2 linked regions of the Macaca mulatta genome follow. The protein of the gene in region 1 purifies or fractionates together with the protein of each later gene. This does not show direct contact. Links are inferred from orthologs where the notes say so. Each region holds a gene or a part of one and is shown in the gene's direction. Other genes may lie near its edges.

Region 1 (3,691 bases):
TCACTGTGCTCTAAGCGCCCTGGCCTCCTTGCTTCTTTTCAAAACACCAAGCGCATTAAGCTTCAGGACGTCTGTAACTTGCTGTTCTCTCTGCCCGCACCATTCTTCCCCCAGATTCCTCCAAGGCTCGCTCAGCTTTCATTCAGCTCTGCTCAAATGTCAACTCAAAGAGATCTTTCCAGGCTATTGTACCCATCACTTATTTTAGTGTCACTTATGTCTCCGTCTCCAGAATGTAATGCTCCTTTATGACAGGGAATGCCTTTCATCCCTCGCGCCTTGAAAAATGCCTGGCACATAGTAGGCACCTTAAAAATACTTGATTTAAATGGATCTGGGCTGAACGTATCCTGCTTAATTGCAGCACTTGACCTGAGGTCACCTCATCAAAGCAAGCACACAAACACAAAAGGAAGCACAACCAGATGAGGCCTGCCTGCCGCTCCTGAACTCTTTGGGAGGGCTCGCGCGGGAACCCTGGGAAGCTCCCGCGGCCGGAGCTGGGCCTGAAACTGTTCTTTCGTTTCCTCCTGCGGCCGAGAAGGGGAGGGGTAAACAGGAGAAAATGAGGCGAGTAGGGGCTGAGGAGTGGGCCTCAGCTCTACAGCATTCGCCTGAGAATGTATCGTTATCCGTGGCAGCGCCTTGTCTCATTGGATGGCCCTAGGCCTAGTGTGGCCGCGACTCCAAACCGAAAGCCCGGGCGAAGCCCCGGCATGCAGCCAGGCAGCCATTTTCCGGAGCGGCTCTCTCGGTCACCCCGCCCGGGCGCGTACGCACGAAGGGAGGCGGGGCTTGCCGCGAGGGCCTCGCTCCGGAAGCCGCACCCTCCGCGGCGTCCCACCGTCGAGGATTAACAAAACGCCAAACAAGATTTCAACAGTCGGCAGCGAAAGCGCGCACTCGAGCGCCAATGAGAGCGGAAGGAGGGGCGCCGTGCCTGAGGAACACTCCGTATGTCGAACAATGATTGGCTGGAGCCCACCTTTCTTCTTTTTTGCTATTAGAGGGACTTGCTGCTCCCGCCCTTCTAATTGGCTTTGGTCTAGGTACTTCTGATTGGTTTCCCCCGGGCGGTGGGAGGCGCGGTTTTGGGGATTGTTCATCATGGATTGGTGAATTTGGGCTCCTTCTCTAGGCGGTGGCCCGTCCCGTCTGCTCTCTGTCCCGTCTCCCGACCCGTACGCGTTTCCCTCAACTCGCGCGCACGAATGGTTAAAAAAAGGGTGTGAGGCTCGAGCCCGCCAGCCAGGCCGCTAGCACCTCGCGCGCGCCCTTAGCGAGGACCCGCACGAGCTGCCCGGCTCTCTGCCTGCGCTGTTTGAAACTGTGGAACCCGTTAGGCTCTTGGGGAGCTACAGTCCCAGCTGGCTCTGGAGCCCGTGCGTGCCGGGGGCGAGTGACCGTCGCGAGACGGCTCCTGCCTTTCGCGTCTCTGCAGCGTGGAGACTGGAACCGGCAATTTCAAAGGACGCCACGTTCAATCGCAGCGCTGGCGCGGGCGGAGGCTAAAACACGGGGGTCCTGAGACTGAGGAAAACGCGCCAAGTTCCCCTCGGTGGCGGAGTGCGAAAGACCCTAGCGGTTCAGGCGCTCGGCGAGCGGGGCTGCTGCTTGTTGCGCTCCTGGCTATCCCGGGGCGGGCGCGGATAGGCGCCGCTCCGGGGATGTAGTTGGTGCCGGTGCAAGGCGGGACCGAGCGGCGGTCGGGGTTCCCGCTCTTGGGAGCGGATGGTCACTCCCCCGCGGGGAGGGTGATCCGACCAGATTTTCCTGGGGCCGGGGGGACCCGGCGGACTCGGAACAGGGACTCACCTGTCGCACCCACACTCATTCGGGTTGGACTTGCCGGCGTCACTGCCGCGGACCTCGCTTTGGGCCATGACCAGGTAAGGAGGGCCTGGGAGGAGGGGCCGGCGCCCCGGCGCGGGGGCAAGTTCGGCCGGCGCGGGAGAGGAGCTGCCGGGGAGACCCCCGGGACCGTGTTGGCCTCGCACCCTGGTCGAGCTGCCAGCGGGAGCCTTGTGTGCCTCGGGCGGGGCGCCTGTCTTGCCGCCGCCGGGACGCGAGAAGGCAGGTGCGGGCTGGGCGTAAATAGGCCAACTCCGCGGCGAGGGCGCCCGGCGCGGGGGTGTGGGCCGAGAACGCCGCCGCCAGCCTCCCCCGGCCCGGCAGCCTAGTCGCTGCTGGTTCTTCCAGCTTCCTTTCCGTTCCCGAGAGAGGTGAAGGTTGGGGAGAAATAAACGTTTCCACGCAGGTTGCCCTGGATCGGTCAGTAATTGCGAAATTTTACCGCGCATTTTCTTTCACTTACACTTTTTCCAGAAGTGTTTAGAACGCCGCGTCTTAAACCTTGGCGAAGATGTCCTTGTATATTTTTCTTGAAAAATCGGAATCGAGTCGTGTCATATCAAAAAGAATTTAAAACTGTTGGGACTGAGTATTCACGCTGTCAACAGATAATGGTCGTTTCGTCGTGCTTTCTGCGAAAGTTGACTTAGTTACAGGAGAAATATTTTGCGTGTAACAGCCCCCCCCCCCCAGTTATAAGGAAAGCCAGGAGCAAGAAATAATAGCACGGAAGATACTGCACCTGGCAAAATGTTACATTCTCGGTGTGAACATTGCTTTGAGGGGCTAGGAGGTTTGGTTTGTTGATTAAGCTGACGATCCGCTATTTCACCTGCCTAATCATTCTTCCCTCCTGTGAAGTCTGGTTACTCTGTCGGTTTGAGATCCAGTTTCTGTCATCCATTAGAATTGGCTCTCGAGAAAAACATTTTATCAGAATCATTAATGCTTGGCGATCCCTGAGAACTTAGCGTAGGTTAGTTTGTCATTTAGAAGACAGCGCTTCCTCAGAAGCATTAGGTGAAGCATTAGGTGGATAGGAGAGTAAGTGAAGTTGGAGACAGAATGGGGAGATTGATCAGCTTTTCCAGTTCTTCCTGACTTGGGTCTTAAAAATGGTTTCAGTGCTGAGTTTAGTGTGAATTCCTAGATCAGTGTCAGCCACGTGAAATGCTTATTAAGGATGGAATTTGAGTGAGTTTTGTGTAGTTCATTTTATTACTCTGCATTTTAAATTTGAAACTCGTTGCTGAAGTTTTGGGCTTTAAGTAATTTTATTATGGTAATACTCTAGTTAGATAATTTTTCCTCACATGTCCTGAAAAATAGGACTGATGTAGAAAATATTAGTAACTCCTACAAATGTTGCCATATTTTTTCCTGTGAAAGTTTTGCTTTAAAACAGGGTGGGAAAGTTGCAAATGGCAAACCAAATCATCTTTTTTCCTACTCAAAGCACTATTTTTGGAATCCAAAGTTTTAAAAAAAGTTTGGAAAACGAGTATTGTGATTTCTGGCTCATTAAGAATTGGATTTACACAAAGTGCATCCAACAGTGTTTTGTATCACTGTCTCAACTTTGCATGTGTTTTATTATTGAAAGATAATAAAACTTTACGGTTTTAGGTATATCTTAACACCATCTCTATGCCTTGAATGCAAATTATACTTTAATAAACTTTTTAGGTACTTTATTTTCATGTATTCATGTTAATAACTAGAAAAGGCATTGGAAGAGAGGACTCATTATCGTCCAGCACTACTTTGATTTTCCATTCATCCTTTCCATGTACTTGAGAATTAGAGGTGATAGTGCTCAGTCAATTTTTCTGAATGAATT
Region 2 (3,650 bases), on another chromosome or scaffold:
CAGCCTCCTTCATAGCTGGAAGTACAGGTGCCTGCCAACATGGCTGGCTAATTTTTTTTGTATTTTTAGTAGAGACGAAGTTTCACCATGTTGGCCAGGCTGGTCTTGAACTCCTGACCTCAAGTGATCTGCCCACCTTGGCCTCCCAAAGTGCTGGGATTACAGGCATGAGCCACTGCACCCGGCTGAGGATAAGCATTCTTTTAAGAAGGACTGATGGCTCTAATATAAAACAGTTTAAGAACGATTATTCAGATTTAGCAATAATTTTTTCCTAAGTGATTTTTTTTTTAAATACTATTCTCTTATACTCAGCCATCCAAGTAAACAGGTATTATTTAAAAATCAAGGTAACACTCAACCTGTCAAATAGGTACATTGTCAACTTTCCCTTTAGAATCAACTTTTATTTAACTATTTAGAATACAGCTTAACATATGCTGATTGGGTTGAATTGCGTTTATTTTTGCAGTGTGTGTGTCTCTTCTAGGCAGAGTGCATACTGTCTAGTATTAGATGTGGGTAATCTAGTTTTTAAAGGAATTAGCATAACGCAGTCACTGATCTGATTCTTATCTCATTTAGAGATGGTGTAGAGGTCGTTGATAGGCCAAATGTAAGAGTGCACAGAGAAGTAAAAAATGAAAGATAGCTTCTTTAATTGCTTAAGTTGCTTGGGCAACTGTGAAAATGAAAGGGCTATTAACAAAAATAGAACAAAAAGAAGTGCCAGTTTGGAATAAAGATGGTAAGTTCAGTTTTGGGCTGGAAATGTGGGGTAGCTCAGGAGAGGAGCCAGCATGTGACAGGACTGAGAGAATTGTTCACATAGGAGTCAAAACATTTCCAAGGAAAACAGTGTAGAGAGAGCATGAAACTGATAAAAAAAAAAAAAACTATCTATGAAGATTACTTCAGTTTGAGTTGGGGAAGAAAAGATGAAGAAAAGGAAGTTAATACAGGAGAAGAAGGCTTAAGAGAGCTAAGAAGAAGGGTGGGTGGTCAGCCGCATCAGTCAATTACTGTACTGAGATCGACGAATGATAATTGGTTCTTTTTTGAGATAGAGTCTCACTGTGTCACCAGGCTATATATTCCAGGAGAGCAGTCTCAGCTCACTGCAACCTCCACCTCCCAGAGATTCTCTTGTGTCTCAGCCTCTCGAGTAGCTGAGATTACAGGCATGCACCACCATGCCCAGCTAATTTTTTGTGTTTTTGGTAGAGACAGGGTTTCACCATGTTGTCTAGGCTGGTCCCGAACTCCTGGTTTCAAGTGATCCACTCATCTCGGCCTCCCAAAGTGCTAGGATTACAGGCCTGAGCCACCATGCCCAGCTGATAATTGGTTGTTAAATTTGGAACTGCAAAGTCCTGGTTACCTTAGAGAGAGTATTGTTTTGATAAGTTTTTATTATTTCACTTTTGGGTTTGAGAAACATGAAACAGAAGTTTTTGACTTGTCTGGAACAGCACAGATTCCAGAAGGACTAACTCCAGCTCTGACTGGTCCCTTTCCTCCTTCACTGGGGCCATTTACACTGTGTTAATTAAGCTAATTGAGATACTGCTAAAAAACTTACTCCAGCAGAATTCACTTCCTGAAATATTCAACCTTATTTTAGAGGGAAAAGTTTGTTTTTAGATAGAATGTTTACATTTTAGGTAGAGCACTGGCCTTAGAGTCAGCAGATGTGCATTCCAGCGCTGCTGCTCCTTAACCTCTCTGGGGCCCCCATTTCCTCTTCAGTTGAATTTGGGAGTTGGGCTAGATTATCTCTTAGGCTATGCTAAAATTATGATGTTAGTGACATTTGTCTCTTTTTTCCCTTTTGGTTTTGCTTTATTTTAATAGGTTCACCAAGTTGAAGAGTCTTAATCTTTCCAATAATCATTTAGGGGACTTCCCACTAGCAGTCTGCAGTATTCCAACCCTGGCAGAGCTGAATGTGTCCTGCAATGCCCTGCGATCGGTCCCAGCAGCCGTTGGAGTGATGCACAAGTGTGTACCTCAAACCCCACTGGCGGGTATATCCAGAGACCCCAGGGAAGCTGCATTGGGGGTGTAGCACATGAGATTAGTTAACTTGTTATGTTGGTCATGTAAGTCTTGGCCCCAAATCAACAGATCAGGGACTGTATAGTCTGTATGGAGTTCATGTGTTAGATTTGTATTCTTTACGATCTTGTAAAAAATTAAATATTCTTGTTTAGAACTGAAGATCCCTGCAAATGAGTATGTCTAAACATGGAATGTGGGTTATGTTCTCATTTTTCTGAGTTATATTGAATTCAAAGACTTAGAAATTAATTTTGAGAAATAATAAGGAAAGCCCAAAGGATATCTGAATCAATTTATATCACAGTTAGCTCATGTTGCTCCCATTTAAGCCTATTCAGATTGGGAAAGCTAGTCATAATTTTCATTTTCAATAAAAGATTAAGATGCTTATCTCTGATTATTTCTCTTTGGTCCGTTATTGCCTCAGGCCCTGCCCTTAGGCATTTTGCAAAGAGTAATACATTTTCTGGTAATACGATCTACACTATGGAACTTGTATGTTGATAATAAAGATGTAAAATTTATACATTCTCTTTGTAATTCTTATGTTTTCTCTAATAGCTTACAGACATTTTTGTTGGATGGAAACTTTCTCCAAACCCTTCCTGCTGAGTTGGAGAACATGAAGCAGCTTAGTTATCTGGGTCTTTCTTTCAATGAATTTACTGACATTCCAGAAGTATTGGAGAAATTGACTGCTGTGGATAAACTTTGTATGTCCGGAAACTGTATGGAGACCCTTAGGCTACAGGCTTTAAGAAAAATGCCTCACATTAAACATGTGGATCTAAGGTAACCATTTTTGAGAAATAGATCTCATTTGAGCTGTTGGCTTATATTGCAGGGGTGGGGAGTAGGTTATTGACCAAGTCAAACAGGCTGGATAATTGAATGTGGACCCATTTTTCTATTTCTGCCTAGAGGGAAGAATTATGATTAATAGTAGGGTTTGCTGTTACTGGAGACTTTCTCACTGATGTATGTCTTGAAGGTCTTTGTTTTGCAAATTGGAACCCAGTTGAGTGAGAGAGCTATTTTTTGGTTTTGTTTTGTATTTTTTGTTGTTGTTGCTGTTTTTAAAGAAATAGGGCCTTGCTCTCTTGCCCCGCCTGGAGTGCAGTGATGTGCTCAGAGCTCTCTTTAGCCTCAAACTCCTGGGCTCAGGTGATCTTCCTGCCTCAGCCTCCCAAATACTCAGGCGTGTTCAGTTTCATCAGTGTAAAGTAGCATCACCTTTTGCTCCCTTTCTTCTCCATTCGTATGGCTCAGCCAAGGAAACCCATACCTTCCAGTCCCACAAAGAATTGCTTGGCTTCACCTTTCCTCAGAATAAAGGAATCAGACCTGTCCTTCCTAGGGAAGTATTAGCAATTTGCAGATATAAAATTCTTAATTTGGAAGTTAAAGTAATTATAATTTATCTGATTTTTGAGAATTTCTTGGAATGTAACAAGATAAGGAACTCTAAACACTTTGTTAACTTGCTTTCCAAATTGTTTACATTATTCGCCTCTGAGTTCCTTCTATTTAGAAAACCCTCATATTCCAGAATTTAAGCCCTATTTTATTCATCCACCAGTGGTAGAACT

The links. The genes of interacting proteins can lie anywhere in the genome.
Region 2: the proteins of USP1 (region 1) and PHLPP1 purify together in Homo sapiens (affinity purification with mass spectrometry; 6 studies listed by BioGRID and IntAct, counting the BioPlex papers as one, with this or other methods). This does not show direct contact. The link is inferred for Macaca mulatta from reciprocal best matches to the Homo sapiens genes USP1 and PHLPP1.

What each region holds. Positions count from the first base shown.
Region 1 is NC_133406.1:178,202,238-178,205,928, reverse strand, and holds the start of USP1 (ubiquitin carboxyl-terminal hydrolase 1), read left to right. Parts: upstream 1-776; 5' UTR 777-1,049; intron 1,050-1,536; exon of another isoform or gene 1,537-2,133; intron 2,134-3,691. UniProt on the Homo sapiens protein: Negative regulator of DNA damage repair which specifically deubiquitinates monoubiquitinated FANCD2. Also involved in PCNA-mediated translesion synthesis (TLS) by deubiquitinating monoubiquitinated PCNA.
Region 2 is NC_133423.1:17,992,821-17,996,470, reverse strand, and holds part of PHLPP1 (PH domain leucine-rich repeat-containing protein phosphatase 1), read left to right. Parts: intron 1-1,854; coding exon 1,855-2,001; intron 2,002-2,622; coding exon 2,623-2,853; intron 2,854-3,650. UniProt on the Homo sapiens protein: Protein phosphatase involved in regulation of Akt and PKC signaling.